Pelodiscus sinensis: one gene and its partner. The protein of the gene in region 1 binds, or shares a complex with, the protein of each later gene. Links are inferred from orthologs where the notes say so. Each region holds a gene or a part of one and is shown in the gene's direction. Other genes may lie near its edges.

Region 1 (10,303 bases):
TATCCAGCTTTTCATCCACTGTACTCCTCAGGTCTTTTTCTGCATAACTGCTATTTAGCCAGTCGGTCCCCAGCCTGTAACAATGCTTGGGATCTTTCTATCCCAAGTGCAGTACTCTACGCTTGTCCTTGTTGAACCTCATCAAATTTCTTTTTGGCTCAATCCTCTAATCTGTCTAGATCACTCTGGACTCTATCCCTGCCCTCCAGCATATCTACCTCTCCCCCGTGCTTAGTTTCATCCGCAAACTTGCTGAGGGTGTAATCCATCCCCTCATCCAGGTCCATTAATAAAAATGTTGAACAAAACCGGCCCTAGAACTGATTCTTGGGACACTCCTCTAGAAACCGACAGCCAACCTGACATCGAGCCATTAATCACTACCTGTTGGGCCTGACAGTCTAGCCAGCTTTCTATCCATCTTACAGTTCATTTATCCAATCCATATTCCCTTAACTTGCTGGCAAGAATATTGTGGGAGACTATCAACAGCTTTGCTAAAGTCAAGGTATATCACATCCACTGACTTTCCCATATCCACAGTGCCAGTTACCTCATCATAGATGCTAATCAGATTGGTCAGGCATGACTTGCCCTTCGTGAATCCATGTTGACTATTCCTGATCACTTCCCCTCTTCCAAGTGCTTCAAAATGGATTCCGTAAGGATCCCTTCCATGATTTTTCCTGGGACTGAGGTAAGGCTGACTGGACTATAGTTCCCTGGATTGTCCTTCCCTTTTTTTAAAGATAGGCACTACATTTGCCTTTTATTCAATCATCTGGGATCCCTCCCGATTTCCACAAGTTTTCAAAAATAATGGCCAAAGTCTCTGCAATGACATTTGCCAACTTCCTCGGTAACCTCAGATGCATTAAATCTGGACCCATGGATTTGTGTATGTTTAGCTTTTCTAAACAGTTCCTAACCTGTTCTTTCCCCACCAAGGGCTGTCCACCTCCTTCCCATAGTGCATTGCCTAGTGCATTAGTCTGGGAGCTGACCTTGTCTGTGAAGACAGAGGCAAAGAAAGCATCAAGTACTTGAGCTTTTCCAACATCATTTGTCACTAGGTTTCCTCCCTCATCCAGTAAGGGCTCAACACCCTCTCTGATCACTCTTATTGCTAACATGCCTGTAGAAGCTTTTCTTGTTACCCTTCAAATCCCTTGCTAGCTGCAATTCCAGTTGTGCTTTTGCCTTCCCTGCATTCTTGAGCAATATATTTATACTCCTCCCTTGTCATCTGTCCAAGTTTCCACTTCTTGTAAGCTTCCTTTTTGTGTTTAAGCTCACCAAGGATGTCCCCTTTAAGCCAATCTGGTTGCCTACCATATGTGCTTTTCTTACTGTGCATGGGGATGGTTTCTTCCTGTGCCTTTTTAATAAGGCTTCTTTAAAATACTGCCAGCTCTCCTGGACTCCTTTCCCCTTCACATAAGCATCCCAGGGAGTCAAGTATATCTTTTTGTTTTAATAAAAGCACCCTTTTTAAGGTGATGATTTGATTCTTGTGTCCTGGAAGATCATAGGAGGTCTATGTATAGGGTTGCCAGGTGTCCGGTCGGTATTTGTGGCTTTTGTCTGGTTTAAAAAAAAACCCTGAAAATACCAGACATGTAAAATATACGGTATTTTCTGTTTTTCTCGGATTGAAGGCTGCTTGGGACATTCTTCCCCCGCTGTGTCTGGTGGGAGCAGGGGAGTGCAGGAATTCAAAGGGTCCATGACTCTTATTTTTTGGTCTTTTTGGGGGGGTGGGGTTTTTTGTTTTAACTTTTGGTTCTTTCTTTTTTTCTTTTTTGCTCAACCAATTCTTTTCCTGCCATGTTTGGTGTTTTTTGTAAAACACTATATATATGGATGCCTAAGACTGAGGGTCAGCTATCAGAGATTCCAGTTTCTTTTCTCTTTCTGCAAAGCTCTCTTTTGGTAAAATCAGGTCTTCATCACGTGATCCCTCTCCTGTCATCCATTTCCAGATAAACAGAGGCTAGGGACAAGGTTCCTACCCATCCTAGCTAATATGTCCATTGATGGACCTAACCTCCATGAATCTAGCTCTTTTTTTAACCCTGTTAAAATCCTAGTCTTCACCACATCCTCCGGCAAGGAGTTCCACAGATTGTGCACTGAGTAAAGGAAAACTTCCTTTTGTTTGTTTTAAACCTGCTTCCTATTAATTTCATTTGGCGACCCCTAGTTCTTTCATTGTGGGAATAAGTAAATAACTTTTCCTTACTCACTCCTTCTACAACAAAGTAATGATTTTATAGACCTCTATCATATCCCCCCTTAGTCACCTCTTTTCTAAGCTGAAAAGTCCAAGTCTTTTTAATCTCTCTTCACATAGGACCCATTCAAACCCCTAATAATTTTTGTTGCCTTTTTCTGAACCTTTTCCAATGCCCATATTTCTTTTGAGATGAGGCGACCACAGCTGTACTCAGTATTCAAGATGTGGGTGTACCATGGTTTTATATAGAAGCAATAAGATGTTCTCTTTTTTTTTAATGATTCCTAACTTTCTAGTTACTTTTGACTGCCACTGCACACTGAATGTATGTTTTTCAGGGAACTATCCACAATGACTCCAAAGATCTCTCTCTTGAGTAACTGTAGCTAAATTAGTCCCCATCATATTGTATGTATAGTTGGGATTATTTTTTCCAATGTGAATTATTTTACATTTATCAACATTTCATTGCATTTGCCATTTTGTTGCCCAATCACTTAGTGCGGTGAGATCATTTTGAAGCTCTTCACAGTCTGCTTTGGTCTTAACTATCTTGAGCAGTTTGGTATCATATGCAAATTTTGTCACCTCACTGTTTATCCCTTTCTCTAGATCATTTATAAATAAATTGAATAGGATTGGTCCCAGGGCAGACCCTCGGGGGCTCCATTAGTTATCGCTCTCCACTCTGAAATCTTACCATTTATTCCTACCCTTTGTTTCTTGTCTTTTAACCAATTACTAGTCCGGACCTTCCCTCTTATCCCATGACAACTTATTTTACTGAAGAGCCTTTGGTGAGGCTGAGGTATCTTGTCAAAGGCTTTCTGGAAATCTAAGTACACTATATCTACTGGATCCCCTTTGTCCACATGTGTGTTGACCCTCTCAAAGAACTCTAGTAGATTAGTAACGCATTATTTCCCTTCACAGAAACCATGTTGACTTCCCCCAACAAATTATGTTCATCCACGTGTCTGACAATTTCATTTTTTTACTATAGTTTCAACTAATTTGTCTGGTACTGACATTAGATTTTGCCAGGATCACCTCTAGAGCCCTTTTTAAATATTGGCGTCACGTTAGCTATCTTCCAATCATTAGGTACAGAAGGATAGGTTACAAACCAGTTAATAGTTCTGCAATTTCCCATTTGAGTTCTTTCAGAACTCAAGGGTGAATGCCATTTGGTCCTGGTGACTTGTTACTGTTTATCAGATTTTTTCCAAAACCTTTTCTAATGACACCTCAATCTGGGAAAATTCCTCAGATTTGTCACCTAAAAAGAATGGCTCAGGTTTGGGGATCTCTGAATTAAATAATTCATTTAGCTTCTCTGCAATTACTTTAGCATCTTGATCTTCCAGGGACTCAACTGGTTAAGCAGGCTTCCTGCTTCTGATGTACTTAAACATTTTACTATTAGTTTTTAGTTAGCTGTTCTTCAAACTCCGTTTTGGCTTTTCTTATATTTTTACACTTAATTTGACAAAGTTTATGCTCCTTTCTATTTTTCCCACTAGGATTTGACTTCCACTTTTTAAAAGATGTCTATTTCACTGATTCTTTTACTGGTTGTTAAGCCACAGCAACACGTTTTTGGTTCTCTGAGGCTATGTCTACACTGAGTTTAGCCGAAAGAGGCAATGCAAATGAAGCACAGATTAGTATTTTCTCGTGCTTCATTTGCATAATCTTTTCCGAACCGTTTTTGCACAAAAGCAAGCAGGGTGGATGTTTCCTTTTTGTGGAAAAACCCCCTTTTTGCACAAGATCCTTATGCCTCAAAAAAGGAGGTATAAAGATCTTGCGTAAAAAGGAAATGTCCACACTGCTTGTTTTTGCACAAAAACTCCTTGCGCAAAAACGGATCAGAAGATTATGAAAATGAAGCGTGAGAAAATGCTAATCCGCACTTCATTTTGAATTGCCTTTTTCAGCAAAACTCATAGTGTAGACATAGCCTTACTGCGTTTTTTAATTTGGGTTATACTTTTAAGTTGGGCCTGGTGCTATGGTGTCTTTTAAAAGTTTCCATGCAGCTTGCAGAGCTTTTACTTTTATAACTGTACCTTTTAATTTCTGTTTAACCTCCTTGTTTGTGTAGTTCCCCTTTCTGAAATTAAATGCTAGTGTTGGGCTGCTGAGGTATTTTTCCCACCACAGGGATATTATTACATCTGGTGTGGGAGGTCAATATTGTTCTTTGTAGGAAAGTAGCTAGTGAAACCCTAGGACCTGGATAATGCTGTCAATTAATGCATCAGTGCAGGCCTGCTTGGGAATGGACCAATGGGGGCACAGAATGGGCTCTTTCTAGGCTACATCTACACTGGCAGCTTCTTCCACAAGAACTGTTTTGCGGAAGACTTCTTGCACAAAAAGTCTTCCACAAGAGCGTGTCTACACTGGCATGTGTTTCTGTGCAAGAGATGTGCTTTTGCGCAAGAGCATCCATGGCAATGTGGACTTTCTCTTTGCAAGAAAGCTCTGATGGCCATTTTAACCAAAGGGGCTTCTTGCTCAAGAAATTCATGTTGCTTGTCTACACTGGCCTCTTCTGGAAGAGCTCTTGCACAAGAGAGCTTCTTCCTGAGAGGGAGCATCAGAGTTCTCGTGTAAGAAACTCTGATTTCATACAGTAGAACGTCAGTTTACTTGTGCAAGAACACGTGGCCGGGTAGACACAGCCTTAGTGTCTTCTTTTTAGATCCTCTCTCCTTTGTTCAGGCACATTTTTTTTTCAATTAAGAGGCAATAAAGGGGTCCAGGAAAACCTAGACATGTGCTAACCCTAGGTTGTAATAGTACTTGTTCAAGTTCTGCAACTTAGGAGAATCATGCATCATGATTCTGCATTAGCAAAACTCAAGAGAACTGTTCAGCACAGGGTCCCTGTTTCCGCCAGAGTGCTGTGGTACACTGGACAGTGGGAGTTAATGGCCCTGTGTGAACATGACTTTCAGCTCCCACTAATCCATTGGTAAATCACAAGTATAGCACAACACATGGAGCCAGGTGGCAGCCTGAGGCACAATGAGATACTTACGGGTGATGCTGCACCACTGAGGCAATCATTCATGTGTGATGACCACAAATGCCCAAGTAGGCATGTGCGCAAGCCTTACACAAAAGTTGGTGGCTGTACATTGACCTAACATGGGCTAACCAAACCTGGCAGTGTGGCTGCGGGATAACACCACTATTTGGGAATGTCCTGGTTTACATGAACCTGCAGGGAAGTTGAAAAGCATCAGAGGGATAGCGGAGCAGGTCTGTAACTGGAAAAACTTAAGCAAAATGCAGGACAATGTAGCACTTTAAAGACTAACAAGATGGTTTATTAGATGATGAGCTTTCGTGGGTGGGTCTGGCCCACGAAAGCTCATCATCTAATAAACCATCTTGTTAGTCTTTAAAGTGCTACATTGTTCTGCATTTTGCTTCAGCTACCCCAGACTAACACGGCTACATTTCTATCACTGGAAAAACTTAAATAGTCTTGTGGCACCTGTGAGACTAACACCACCTGGAGATGGTACCTGAGCTTTCGTGGGCACAACCTACTTCTTTCACCTGAAGATGTGGGTTATGCCCAGGAAAGCTCATGCTGCCCTCTACATGTTTTGCTGGGCTGCAACCCTACCTCTTACTGTGAGACAAAGAGCTTGTGGGAGCAGTTTACTGCCACACACGCAGCACCTTCCTCCAGCCCAGCCCCTAGCCCGCCCTCCATCTCAGCTCCTGCATAGCGCCCCCCTCCCCTCCCGTTCCAGCTCCTGGGGGCGGGGGGGGGCTCCGGCGCGCGGGGTAAGGGCGGCCCTTCCATGGGGGCTCGTGCAGGCCTTGCGCGCAGTGCGAGCACTTACTGGAGCCGAGGGCACCTGGGGTTTCCTGTTGGACCCGGGCCCGGGGGAGCGCGCCGCGCCCGCAGCTGCTCTCGGCCCGGGGAACGCGCGAGGTGCAGCAGCAGCAGCAGCGGCGGCGGCGGCGGCGGGCGAGGCGCGAGCCTCTCGGAGCCATTAGCGCCGCTGCGCTGCCCGGCTCCAGAAGCATGGCGGGCGCCGGGCCGTTCCGTGCCGTGCTGGCCATGCTGGAGGGCTGCTACGCTGAAGTGCTGGGGCTCGAGCGGTTCGTGCAGAGGCTCCGGGAGGCGGCAGCGTGCGGGCCGGGCCACGCTGAGCTGCTGCAGCAGGGAGACTCCGAGCTGTACCAGGCGTTCGTGGCCCAGTGCGTGGTGTGCGTCCCCCGGGGAGCCAGAGCCATCCCCCAGCCTGTCTCCTTCCAGCAGGTACTTGCGGCGGCGGCGGCGACTGGGGAGGGGGCTGTAGGGCTGGCGTGCCTCACGGGGCACTTGCTGCCTCCATCGCAAGCCTTATGCTTTGGCGGCGCGAATAGTTCCCGGCTGCTTGCCCCGGCTGCGGACTGACCTTGCTTTTGCGGAGCAGAGGCTAGTTCCAGAGCAGGAAGGGGCGCTCCGCTGCCTTTTCTCCTCTTCCCATGGAAAGAGCGAGGCTGCAGTGCCCCGCGCGGGCTGCCTATGCTCGCTCTTCTGTCTCGGTGCTTTCCTCTCGCTTGTCTCCCGCGCCTGGGCTTGCGTGCGAGTTAGAGCCTGCACATTGTCTTGTAAGACAGCAGCCACTCAGATGTTTACTTTTCCGTGTGGGGCCAGGTAATCGCTTGGCCCTGGGGGGGGAGGGAGGGAGCGGGGGGGGGGTCGGGCTGAATCTTAGCTTCTTCTGCCACAAGCCCTGCAGCGGGGTGGTTCTTCCCTCCCCTGATGGTGATGGATGAGCACGTGTCACCAGGCTCCTAGGCTGCAGCTAGATGAGAGTGAGGGTTAAATGTAAGATTACATTCATATGGTTCCATGCCTTTATGTTTTCCTTGTTCGGGTTGGCCCTCCCTGGTCCAAAAAGAGGGAAATTTGCTGGACCAGGAGAGGTTGCCTGCCACCAGCCCTGTCACCCCCCACTGCCTCCACTTCTGCCCTGGCCATCCCCCACTGTCTCTAGCCCAGCTGGGCTGCTGGCCCTTCCCTACTGCAGGTTATGTTTCCACCCTGGCTGCCCCCCTGCCTCTAGCCTGGCCGGGCCATTGGCCCCTGCCTATAGCCTGGCTGGGCACTCTGCCCTGGCCGTCTGGCCCCCAAGCCCTGCCGGCCTCAGTTTTACTGCCACAAGCCCTCCTGCCACGAGACTCCAAGCCCCAGGGCTCTCTGGCACTGAACCACGGATGTTGCCGGACCAAAGTGGCCCAGTTTTGGGAAGTGCAGCCTCTATGCTACCATCAAAACCAGGGACAGGGAACCTCTGGCCTGTGGGCAATTCACCAGGGTTAGCTTGGTGGGCCACCAAATGCATTGTTTTCCTGAGTGTCCACATGGCTGCTCACAGCTCCTAGTGGCTGTAGTTTGACATTCCCAGCCAATAGGAGCTTCAGGAAGCTGTGTCACTGTAACTGCCACTGTGTGGATTTGAACCTGGGATCTCTGACGCGGAGTATAGGAGCCTCTACCTTGGGAGCTAAAAGCCAGCTGGCTCTCAGCCCCAGCTGTAGAGGTCTCTTGAGCTTAACTGTTGCTGTGGTCTAGGTACCACTTGCACTGCTTAGTAACCACATTAGGTGTGTGGGTTACACCACTTCCCGCAGCTCCTATTGGACAGGAACGGTGAACTGTGGCCACTGGAGCTGCGAGTGGCCGTGCCTGCAGACACTCACATAAACAAAGTGCCTGGCGGGCCGCATCTGGCTACCATGCTGGAGGTTCCCCATCCCGGATCTAAACATTGAAAAAGAAACCGTAATTTTTGTTTAATTAGAGCTTGTGATGGATGGAAGGGGTATCCACAAGAGATCTTTTCTAGACATATCAGCCATTCTATTAATTAAATTGCCTGTAAAGGGTTAAACCCAAAGACAGTGGGTCTCCAGGAAGTGTTATCAGGGAGCCAGGAGAGCCAATGGGAAGAGAGTGAGAGATTTGAATTAAAACAGGTTCTGTGATATGGGAGGAACATGACCGCCACCATCTGTTCCTTGCCCTTTGAGGTTACTCCCCTCTGGCCCTTCAATGACATCCATCCTTATTTTCACTGTGCAGCTCTGCCTTGGAGATGAACATCTGGCCCTGATCTCGTTTGGCTGTTTTGTCGAGATTGGTTGCTCCTGGGCTACTCTGCCCAACTGCAAATATGAGCACTAGGCTATTTTCTGGCCCTTCTGTAGCTTCAGTTGCCCTGAAAGCTATAAAAAAAATAATTTGGTTTGGATCACTGGCTTTGCAAGTTGAACTTTCTGTGAGCCTTTTTTCCCCGCAGGCAGTAAAAGAAAAAAAATCCCTAAACTTTCAAATAGTCAAAAGGGGGGGAAAAAGCATCCTTTTAAAATTGAGTTCTGTGTTCCTGGTTCAAAATTATTCCACCTCTGCCACCATGTCAATGCGGTTTCCCACTCTGGCACTTTGAATGCAGTAGGTGGGGACCCACAAGAAATCTTAAAAATACCCTGCCACTAGAGGCTTCTGTGGTTTTTGTTTGTTTGTTTGTTTTTTAACACTTCCCCAAACGTTCCCTGACTTTGGGTGGTACACTGCAACCATCCAAATGCAAAAAACCCTTGAGAGTCCCGGAAGACAATTTCTTCCTGTGGGGTACCCTAGGGCATGTCAACACTGCAGGGCAAAAGTCAAATTCAGATACGCAACTTCAGCTACGCCAATTGCGTAGCTATAGTCAAAATAGCTTAATTTGGCATTTAGTGCTGTCTACGCAGCAGGAAGTCGAAGGAAGAACATTCTTCCTTTACTTCCTTTACTCCTTGCAAAATGAGGGTTACAGGAGCCAGAGTAAGAAGTCCTTTATCTCGACATTATTTCAAAATAATAGCTTGCTGAGTAGACTCACATTTTCTTTTGAAATAACATCAGTTATTCCTAAATAACATTGCTGTGTAGACATATCCTCAAGCTTTTTAACCCTGTGATGCCTATTATATCAATATCCTCCTTTAAAACTAGGCACTCTAGTTCTCCCATTTTACTATTTAGATTTCTAGCATTTGTGTATAAGCACTTTAATAATTTGTGACAAATTATCTGGCTGCCATTTCCTGATGTGTTAGACTCTTTTTCATTTTATTGTGTCTTATCTGATCCGACCCATACTTTCATCCTCTCCTCCTTATTAGAACATAGAGTATCTCTATTAATAGAACCTCCCCAATAGATGTCTCTGATCGATCCATGTGCTCCTCCACACCTGTTGGCTTTCCCCCAGCCCTTAGTTTAAAAACTGCTCTACAATCTTTTTAATGTTAAATGCCAGCTGTCTGGTTCCATTTTGGTTTAGGTGGAGCCCATCGTTCCTGTATAGATGCCCCCATCCCAAAAAGTTTCCTAAGTTCCTAATAGATCTAAACACCTCCTCTCTACACCATCGTCTCATCCATGCATTGAGACTCTGAAGCTTTGCCTGCCTACCTGGCCCTGCACATGGAACTGGAAGCATTTCTGAGAGTGCCACCAAAGAGGTCCTGGATTTCAGTCTTTCCTAGCAGCCTAAATTTGGCCTCCAGAACCTCTCTCCTACCCTTCCCTTTGTCATTGGTACCTACATGTACCACGACCACCGGCCCCTCCCCAGCATTACATATAAGTCTATCTAGATGTCTTGAGAGATCCGCAACCTTCACACCAGTCAGGCAAATCACCATACGGTTCTCCCGGTCATCACAAACCCAAATATCTTATGTTTCTAATGATCGAATCTCCAGTTACTAACACCTGCATTTTCCTAATGACTGGAGTTCCCTCCCCTGGAGGTGTATCCTCAGTGTGAGAGGATTTCATAACATTCATAACAACTGGAAGGAGGGTCCCAACTATGGGATCATTTCCCTCTGCTCCAGTTGAATGTTCTCCTTCCCTGAGCCTTTCATCCTCCTTAGCAGCACAGGGGCTGTCTGACTGTAGGTGGGACAGTTCTACAGTGTCCCGGAAAGCCTCATCTACGTACCTCTTTGCCTCCCTCAGCTCCTCCAGTTCAGCCACCCTAGCCTCCAAAGCCT
Region 2 (10,035 bases), on another chromosome or scaffold:
GTAGGAGGCGCTGGGGGGCAGGGTGCGGTGCCTGGGCGCGGCGGTAGGAGGCGCTGGGGGGCAGGGGCAGGGTGCGGGTGCCTGGGTGCGGCGGTAGGAGGCGCTGGGGGGCAGGGTGCGGTGCCTGGGCGCGGCGGTAGGAGGCGCTGGGGGGCAGGGTGCGGGTGCCTGGGTGCGGCGGTAGGAGGCGCTGGGGGGCAGGGTGCGGTGCCTGGGCGCGGCGGTAGGAGGCGCTGGGGGGCAGGGTGCGGTGCCTGGGCGCGGCGGTAGGAGGCGCTGGGGGGCAGGGTGCGGGTGCCTGGCGGTAGGAGGCGCTGGGGGGCAGGGTGCGGGTGCCTGGGCGCGGCGGTAGGAGGCGCTGGGGGGCAGGGGCAGGGGCAGGGTGCGGGTGCCTGGGCGCGGCGGTAGGAGGCGCTGGGGGGCAGGGTGCGGGTGCCTGGGTGCGGCGGTAGGAGGCGCTGGGGGGCAGGGGCAGGGTGCGGGTGCCTGGGCGCGGCGGTAGGAGGCGCTGGGGGGCAGGGGCAGGGTGCGGGTGCCTGGGCGCGGCGGTAGGAGGCGCTGGGGGGCAGGGGCAGGGTGCGGGTGCCTGGGCGCGGCGGTAGGAGGCGCTGGGGGGCAGGGGCAGGGTGCGGTGCCTGGGCGCGGCGGTAGGAGGCGCTGGGGGGCAGGGTGCGGGTGCCTGGGTGCGGCGGTAGGAGGCGCTGGGGGGCAGGGTGCGGGTGCCTGGGCGCGGCGGTAGGAGGCGCTGGGGGGCAGGGTGCGGGTGCCTGGGTGCGGCGGTAGGAGGCGCTGGGGGGCAGGGTGCGGGTGCCTGGGCGCGGCGGTAGGAGGCGCTGGGGGGCAGGGGCAGGGTGCGGGTGCCTGGGCGCGGCGGTAGGAGGCGCTGGGGGGCAGGGGCAGGGTGCGGTGCCTGGGCGCGGCGGTAGGAGGCGCTGGGGGGCAGGGTGCGGGTGCCTGGGTGCGGCGGTAGGAGGCGCTGGGGGGCAGGGTGCGGGTGCCTGGGCGCGGCGGTAGGAGGCGCTGGGGGGCAGGGTGCGGGTGCCTGGGCGCGGCGGTAGGAGGCGCTGGGGGGCAGGGGCAGGGGCAGGGTGCGGGTGCCTGGGCGCGGCGGTAGGAGGCGCTGGGGGGCAGGGGCAGGGGCAGGGTGCGGGTGCCTGGGCGCGGCGGTAGGAGGCGCTGGGGGGCAGGGGCAGGGGCAGGGTGCGGGTGCCTGGGCGCGGCGGTAGGAGGCGCTGGGGGGCAGGGTGCGGGTGCCTGGGCGCGGCGGTAGGAGGCGCTGGGGGGCAGGGTGCGGGTGCCTGGGCGCGGCGGTAGGAGGCGCTGGGGGGCAGGGTGCGGGTGCCTGGGCGCGGCGGTAGGAGGCGCTGGGGGGCAGGGTGCGGGTGCCTGGGCGCGGCGGTAGGAGGCGCTGGGGGGCAGGGGCAGGGTGCGGGTGCCTGGGTGCGGCGGTAGGAGGCGCTGGGGGGCAGGGTGCGGGTGCCTGGGCGCGGCGGTAGGAGGCGCTGGGGGGCAGGGGCAGGGGCAGGGTGCGGGTGCCTGGGCGCGGCGGTAGGAGGCGCTGGGGGGCAGGGGCAGGGTGCGGGTGCCTGGGTGCGGCGGTAGGAGGCGCTGGGGGGCAGGGTGCGGGTGCCTGGGCGCGGCGGTAGGAGGCGCTGGGGGGCAGGGTGTGGTGCCTGGGCGCGGCGGTAGGAGGCGCTGGGGGGCAGGGGCAGGGTGCGGGTGCCTGGGTGCGGCGGTAGGAGGCGCTGGGGGGCAGGGTGCGGGTGCCTGGGCGCGGCGGTAGGAGGCGCTGGGGGGCAGGGTGCGGTGCCTGGGCGCGGCGGTAGGAGGCGCTCGTGCTGGGGAGCGGGGCTGCAGCACTGGCCATACCGCGCGCCGCGCTCTAGCGCCCCCTGCTTTCGGCGCCCAGCCGGCCTTTCCCGGCAGGGCCCCGCCCCTTCCGCTGGCGCTCTGGCTGCGGCGTCACTTCCGGGGCGACTTCCGGCGGCATGGCGGCGGCGGGCGGCTCGGGCGCGGGCCCGGCGGCGGGCGGCCCCGGCTGGGACGGGGACTTCCTGGCGCGCTACCGGCTGGTGTCGGCCAAGCTGCGGCGGCGCTTCCTGCGGAAGCCGAACGTGTCGGAGGCGGCGGAGCAGTTCGCGGCGCTGGCGCGCGAGCTGCGGGCCCAGGACGCGCTGCCCTACGCCGCCTGGTGCCAGCTGGCCGTGGCGCGCTGCGCCCAGAGCCTCTTCCACGCGCCCGGCGAGGCGCAGGCGCTGAGCGAGGCCGCGCGCCTCTTCCTGCGCCAGGAGCGGGACCTGCGGCAGCGCCTGGGCCTGAGCGGCGGCTTCGCCGAGCACCTGCAGGCCGCGCACAGCTGCTTCGCCTTCGCCGCGCGCCTGCACCTGGAGCTGGGGCAGCCGGCGCTGGCGGCCGGGCTGTGCCTGGAGCTGGGCGCGGCGCTGCGGGACATGGAGCAGCCCGGCCAGGCCGCCCCGCAGTTCCAGCGCGCCGCCGAGCTGCTGGCGGCCGCCCAGCTGCCCCTGGAGGCCCTGCGCTGCCTGGGCGAGCTGGCCTCCTGCTTGCTGCTCAGCCGCGACTACGACGGGGCCCTGGCTGTGCTCACCCAGGCGCAGCTGCTGGCCCAGGCTGGGCCCAGCCCTCCCAGCGGCGCGTTCCTGGAGGTGTTGGTGCGCTGCGAGGTGTCGCGGGTGCTGCTGCTGCTGCTGCTCCAGCCACCGCCACCCAAGCTACTGCCGGAGCATGCCCAGACCCTGGAGAAGTACTGTTGGGAGGCCTTCGAGAGCGGGGCGGGGGCCGGGCAGCTCCCCCAGGCGGGGTACTTGCCTCCGGGCCTCTTCCTCCTGCTGCAGTCCGCTGTCATGGCCTGTCAGGAGAAGGACCTGGAGGCGCTCAAGGTGTTGCAAGCTGAGCTCTGGCCGCTGCTCAGCCCTGAGCAGAACCACCTGCTCCATCTAGTGCTGCAAGAGATGATCAGTCCTGCTGGTCAGGGGTCCTGAGTCCGTCCCCCCCCACACACATCCAGACTGGCTTCACTTGCTTGCTGCCACTTCCATAGGGAGTCTGTTTCCCACCTGAAAGAGAGGCCTGCCCCACCCACCCGCTTTTGCCTCAGTGGGACTCCTGAGTCCCCAAGTAGCATCACCAGCGGGATAGGCTTTGCCCACCTTCAGCTGCCATCACTATGGCATCTCTGTATTGTCTGCCATCTCCACAGACTAACTGCACCTTCACTGATCTGTTGCTATTTCCCTCATATAGCCCAAAACACTCACCAAACATCACCAGAGAAATTAACTTCATACACCTACAGCAATCATCCAGAGATTAGCCCACCTGGTTCCCCAGGGAAGTGGTCGTACCTTTCTGTTGCTAGCCACAGAGTCTAAGCCCTACTCAGCATCACTACCAGCATGACTCGTTTCATCCACCATGGTGTTCTGCTTCCCACAGCAGCCATACACAGGGTTGTTCCATTTTGGCCTGTCACCACTGTGCAGCCAGAGTTCACCTATCTCCCTGTGACCATCAGCATATAGGCAAGAATTATGTAATGCCACTTGAGACTATTTTCCCTTTGAGGCTGAGGAATGTGGATATGCCAACACTTCCTATGTACTACTTCTGGTTATAGAGAAATGTCCTTTTTCAGCCCCAGCACTTCTCCCATACTCCTCTCACTCACAGATTCAATATACCTATTGCAGGAGATGACCTGATCCATTAGAAACTGTGTGCTATCACAGCTCAAGTTCGTAAGAGGCAGGACTCTTGCCATATTTTATTAAGAGACTGCAAATGGCACTCATTTTCCAAACAGTCCCCAAATGCCAGGATTCAGCCTTCTAGTTTAAAAGTCTCACATTTGTAGATATAATGATTAGTGCATTTTTTCTGTATGTTTAAAAATTAGAGTAGTTTTAGGTATGTGAGCAAAAATACCATTTCTGTTTAAAGTGCTCATAATTCTTTCCATTTAAAAACTAAATGAGAAGCTAAAATTGTATTGTTATGTCCCTTCTGGTCCGGGTTCTGTTTCAGTGTTTCTGTTGCCTGAGATTTGTATTTTCTAACTACCTGGCTCTCCGTCCAAGCTCTTGCTCTGTTAATGTAATGCTGTAGATACATTGGTGTCTCTAGAAAACTATCTATCCTGAAGCCTTGTCATTCTTTAAACTATAATTCAGTAAATATTATAGTCTTAAACTGATTACTGTTCAATGTGTCACCAGCCACAACCTAGGAAATGTGGGGAGGAGTCCCTGCTTGTAGCTCATTAGCCTCACTACTTTGTTGGTTTCATTCAACAAGTAAGTAAAGGTGGGTGTGGAATGTGTTTAATTTTGGCATTGGCTACATATGCTATCTTGCTATTTATCAGGCCTGTTACAGCAGTTTAAAAGGAATGTATGGGTGTAGGGGGAACACTTACCCGTAACTTTGGTCCTCGGATATGCTTTTGCAACACTTGCTAAGGTGTGCATTCTAGGGGAGGGCAAAACTGATCTCTGTAAAGCACAATTAGTTTTTAACTCTTAACTTTTCTATTTTAATGATGAAGAGAATTAAAAATTGGATGGTAGACCCGGTCTGTGATCTAATGAACTAAATCTGGGCCTGGAAGCTGGTTCCACACTATTAACTCTAGTCTTGAACAAATCGTTTATTCTTTGTAGGTGTGCTTTCCTACTTGTATTTGCATTCCCATTTTACAAATCTCTGGTGCAAGTATAATGTTTGTATGGCATTTTCATGATGAAAAATGCAGAATAGCTCTGATAACTGCCCTGAGAAGAGCATGTTGCTGGCCATCTTCTGGAAAGAATGTTTTCCAGCAGAGGATCAACTTTAGTTGTGCTTTCCCTTTAACTGTATTTATGTATCCTAAAGAAACAATTTTGTTCTTTTTGCACACTGAATTCTTACACAAATTGAACCTTCTGGACTTCAAACTATGTGGCGTGCCTGGTCTTTTGTGTGAATAAAAGTGAGGCTGTTTGGAAGCTGCTTAAAAAAATACTTCAAGCCTTTCTCGTAGTAGGAAGTGGAGACAGAATGTCCCTGTAAAGTGCTGGAAATGGATGGGTATTTTGTGTGTGTGTTACTTTACGTGCACCTGTAAACTGATTTTTGCATATAAGAGTGAACTTTACACTAATGTTTTGAAATGGGCATATGCGCTGAGGTATGACTAATGAAGCATCTTTCTACTGGAACTCAGAATGGAGTTTCCTTTGTCTTGAAGCTGAGTTTGTGTTAGTCTCAAGCCTTGCAACAAAGTGCAGTACCAGAGAGCACGATACCAGGGATACAAATGTTAGAGAGCTACTCCTGTATCTTACACCTTTCAGATAAAATTGGGCAAGAACAATGTTGCAGCTGCCCTGCCGTTGTGGAAGACTCACCCACTGAACGAGGAATGTGTCCAGCAAAGGGGACAAAACAAGCTTAGTCCTAAGACAGTCATGCAAGCCTGGAAGCGGTTTGGAAGGGCTTTCCTGGCTGGATCCCTCCCGCTGGGTGGGGGCCCTGCCATGCTAGCGGGCCTCTGTGGAAGGCAAACCCCTCGGCACCGCGTTTACACGGCACAAGGGCCCGGCCCAGCGGTCGGAGCCCCGGGAAGGCGGGGTGCGCCTCTGCGGGGCCGGCTGCCCGCAGCTGTAACAGCTTCCGGGCGCCTGGATCCTGGCGGGGGCGGGCTGAGCCTCACGCGGGCCCGGCCCGATTCGTCACGTGGCGGGCCGGCAGCTCCTCCCCCTCCGGGCGCCTGAGCACGTGACGGGGCCGGGCCCGCGCGCGGTGCATCTCGGGACGGGGGCGGCCCGCCAGTCTCTCTGCGCGCGCGGTGGCGGCTGCACGCGGCTGGCGGGGCGAGCGGCGAAGATGGCGGACGGGGAAGGTGAGGGGCACGGGGGGCCTGGGCCTGTGTCGGGGCGGCGGGGGCCCGGCCGTTGGGCGGTGGCTCTGGGCCCCGGGGGTGGCGGGGACTGCGGGGGGGGGGGCTCGGGGGGGCGGGGACCGCGGGAGGATGGCTCGGGGGGGCGGGGGCTGCGGGGGGGGGGGGGCTCGGGGCCGCGGGGGGGTGGCTCGGGGGGGGGGCCCGGCCGCGGGGGGGTGGCTCGGGGCCGCGGGGGGGTGGCTCGGGGGGGGGGCGGGAGCCGCGGGGGGGTGGCTCGGGGCCGCGGGGGCGAGGGCCGCGGGGGGGGGCCCGGCCGTTGGGCGGTGGCTCGGGGGGGCGGGGGCCGCGGGGGGGTGGCTCGGGGCCGCGGGGGGGTGGCTCGGGGGGGGGGCGGGGGCCGCGGGGGGGTGGCTCGGGGCCGCGGGGGCGAGGGCCGCGGGGGGGGGCCCGGCCGTTGGGCGGTGGCTCGGGGGGGCGGGGGCCGCGGGGGGGTGGCTCGGGGCCGCGGGGGGGTGGCTCGGGGGGGGGGCGGGAGCCGCGGGGGGGTGGCTCGGGGCCGCGGGGGGGGGCCCGGCCGTTGGGCGGTGGCTCGGGGGGGCGGGGGCCGCGGGGGAGGGGGCCCGGCCGTTGGGCGGTGGCTCCAGGCCGCGGGGGGGTTTCCGCGCGGCGCCCCGGGCTGACCCCCCCGCTCTGTCCCGCGCAGGGGGCGCGCGGCGGCACAAGCGGAGGAAGGAGAAGTCTCTGGCGGACGCCGATGTCGCGGTGAGTCTCCGCGGGGCCGGCGGGCTCCTCGTGGCGCCCCTCCCCCCGCTGGCCTGCAGCCTGGCTCGGGCGTCGGCCTGACGGGCCGGGCGGCCGCTTTTGGGGGGGGGGGGTTAGAACCGTGTCTCGGGGCCATGTCTGGACTCTCGCCCTGCGGCCGCGGCCGCTCCACAATTGCCCGCTCCAGCTGCGCGGCCTTAGCTGAAGTCAGCACGCCACGTGGTGTCTTCCATGCATTGAGGTGCGAGGGGAGGGGGCTGATGCTCTCCTCATCCTGGTGCAGTGCCCCAGCCGAAGGGAGAGTGCTTAGAGACTGATTTAGCATATCTGAAGGATGCAATAAATAGAGCACATGTACTGAAGAAAAGCCCTAACCGTTTTAATAAGGGATGTAAAAGTGTATCTATGCGCACAGTTAACCAATAAGCCTGGGCTCATCAATTAATGCGCATGGTTACATGCAGGCTCCTTATATGCATGGGAAGCCGGCTTAACAGCCATCTCCCCATGTGCATCAGCTCCCAGGGAGCCACCTGCCGCCCTGTACACTAGGGCTGCATCTACACTGGCAAGTTTTTCCGCAGAAAAACTTGACAACTGTCTACACTGGTCACTTGAATTTGCGCAAGAACACTGACGATCTAATGTAAGATCGTCGGTGTTCTTGCACAAATACTATGCTGCTCCCGCTCGGGAAAAAGCCCTCTTGTGCAAATGCTTTTGCGTAGGACGGCCAGTGTAGACAGCTAAAAACTATTTTGCGCAAAAAAGCCCCGATAGCCCCAATTGCCATTTTCGCCTTCGCAAAACCGCGTCTAGATTGGCACGGACGCTTTTCTGCAAAAAGTACTTTTGCACAAAAGTGTCTGTGCCAATCTAGACGCTCTTTTCCGCAAATGCTTTTAATGGAAAAACTTTTCTGTTAAAAGCTTTTGCGGAAAATCATGCCAGTCTAGACGTAGCCTAGGGGTGGGCAATAATTTTTGAAGGGAGGCCCTTCCCAAAATTGTGGAAAGTGGTTGAGGGCCACATTCTTCCATAGTATTAATGGAGATGTGGGGTCTGGGATGGAGGTTGGGTGCAGAAGGGCGCTTGGGGTAAGGGTCTGGGATGCAGGAGGGAGACTGGAGTCTGGGAGGGAGTTGGGTGCCAGATATGGGAGGGGGTATAGGTGTAAGAGGGGGACAGAAGGCTTGGGTATGTTGGGGGAGAGGGGAGAGAGTTGGGGCAGGAAAGGGCTAGGGTGCCAGAAGCAGGGTATGGCTGAGAGACTTGTCAGCTGCCAAAGTAGCCTGCCTACCTGCAGAGCTTACAATGTTAGCCAGCCAGCCTGCCTGCCTGGCCATGTGCTTCATGGAGAACTGGGTCTAGGAGAGGGGGCGTGACTCTTCTTAGCTGCCTGTTGTTCTAACAAGCAGCTCGCATTGGCTGGTTTCTGCTAGAAACCAGCCAATGGAAATATACTGAGGGCAGGGCGGTTCTTAAAACTTTAAATGGAGCCCTGCAGCCTTGTTTCTGCATGGGGCAAGAAAGGGAGCCTGCCAGGGGCTCCCTGCTGCCTCTGCAGGTTGAATCTGGTGGCTTCGTGGGCCAGATTTTGCCCAGGACTGCCATACATGCAGGGAGCCTTCTCTCTTCACGTTTACACAATTACTTAAATTCATTTTAACAATGTTATTCACACTACAACAGAAAGTTGACTTAAGCTATGCAATTCTAGCTACCAGTTGGAGTCCGCATACCTTAGTTCCAGTTACCTTGAGGTCTTCTCTATGGGGGGCTGACAAGAGAAACTCTCCCATCCACTTCCCTTACTCTTCTCTTCCAGGTAAAGTAACAGGGTGAATTAGAATGGTGATCTGCGGTTGATTTGTCAGGTCTTCACTAGACCTACTAAATTGATCACCAGTTCATCAATCTCAGCGCATCCATCTGGGCTGTAGTGTAAATGTAGCTACAGTAACCTAAATGGTTGCCATTTTAGGCCTTCATTTGGAGGATGGAGGGGAAAGAAGCAGCAGGACGGAAGGCAGGGTAGTGTTGTTTCTTGCCTTGGTTTTGGTGTATGCTGTCCATGGGGACACAAGGACCTGAGGTGGGATAGTGTTATGTCGGAGAATGAAGACGTCTTTGTCCTGAATCAGCACCTCTCCTTGGTCCAATGACTCACTAAGTGCATAGACAAATAAAACTGGAGGGGGGGGGCTGTGAATGTCTGTCTACTAAACAGATATTAGCAGTTAATTCATGTAAATCTCTTGAGGCTAAAATAGCTGTTTAAGATCCAATGGAATGACATTTGTGCTACAACTGACTACAGGTTTAGCTGGTAGTAAGGAGGCAGAGAACCTTGTGCTTAGAATGAGTTTTTTTTTTTTTTTTTTTAAGAAAAGCTGTCCTAAATTGGGATTTAGGCTTTTTTTCCACCCCATTTGTTCTTCTCTAGAAGTCTAGAGAAACGTCTAGCATTTTTTCCTTTCAAATTGTGTGCATTCATTAAGACACGTGTGATTACCCATGTCTTTTTTTTGTTTTTAATTGGAGAAGTTCCTTAACTAAGACTGTCTCTGCTTTGCAAGCCTTACAGTGGCATGACTATACCACTGCAGCTATGCTGCTGTACGGTCTCCCATGTAACTGCTGTATGCCAGTGGGAACGTAATTAAACCACTCCCAGTGAACAGCAGTTGCTATGTTGGTAGGAGAGAAGCTCCTACCGAGGTACAGCTGTCCACACCTGTGCTTCCATTGGTGAAACTTATGCTGGCTTGGGTATGCTTCCTTTTACACCTCTGATTGATAAAAGTTCTAGTGCAGACATAATCTTAGTTTAGCTTTTGCTTTTTTTATAATGTGTTGAAAGAGATTCAGCCCCCATAGTGTTTTGGAGAATGGCCTCCTTTCTGTGGTGTTGATAATGGCACAGTCCCAGGGGTATGGAACTGAAACTTCACTAGCGTTTACATGAAAGAAGGGAGCAGACTGGGATAAGTATTCTGCATTCAAATGTGTAGCCATCCTTAGTACTTTTCCTTCCCATGGAGTTCTGAGGGGCCATGTTCCATTATGTCAAACTTTTTAGTTTTACCTGCTGTTGCAGCAATAACCTTTCTAGACAATGATCGTTTTGCAACAAGTTGATGGTGCTGTGGTTATGTTGCTTTGGAGTAGCTGTCATTGAAGGGAATTATGTAAGATATGCTCGCAATAACTTGTAAGAGAGAGATTAAAGATGCTTTGCATGTCAGCTCCATTTCTCTGATCTGTGATTTCTCTTCCCAGGAGATACAGCACACAGAAGAATTTTTCATCAAACCTGAATCCCGAGTGGCTCAGCTGGACACGTCTCAGTGGCCCTTGCTGCTGAAGGTAAG

Evidence for each region. The genes of interacting proteins can lie anywhere in the genome.
Region 2: TERT (region 1) and DKC1 share a complex: the UniProt entries of both Homo sapiens proteins name them as parts of the telomerase holoenzyme complex. The link is inferred for Pelodiscus sinensis from reciprocal best matches to the Homo sapiens genes TERT and DKC1.

The regions. Positions count from the first base shown.
Region 1 is NC_134712.1:139,864,147-139,874,449, reverse strand, and holds the start of TERT (telomerase reverse transcriptase), read left to right. Parts: upstream 1-5,813; 5' UTR 5,814-6,290; coding exon 6,291-6,527; intron 6,528-10,303. UniProt on the Homo sapiens protein: Telomerase is a ribonucleoprotein enzyme essential for the replication of chromosome termini in most eukaryotes. Active in progenitor and cancer cells. Inactive, or very low activity, in normal somatic cells.
Region 2 is NC_134723.1:736,006-746,040, forward strand, and holds the start of DKC1 (H/ACA ribonucleoprotein complex subunit DKC1), read left to right. Parts: upstream 1-5,792; 5' UTR 5,793-5,883; coding exon 5,884-5,899; intron 5,900-6,602; coding exon 6,603-6,661; intron 6,662-9,943; coding exon 9,944-10,030; intron 10,031-10,035. Other genes in the region: 40-kDa huntingtin-associated protein-like, read left to right, coding at 1,989-2,999.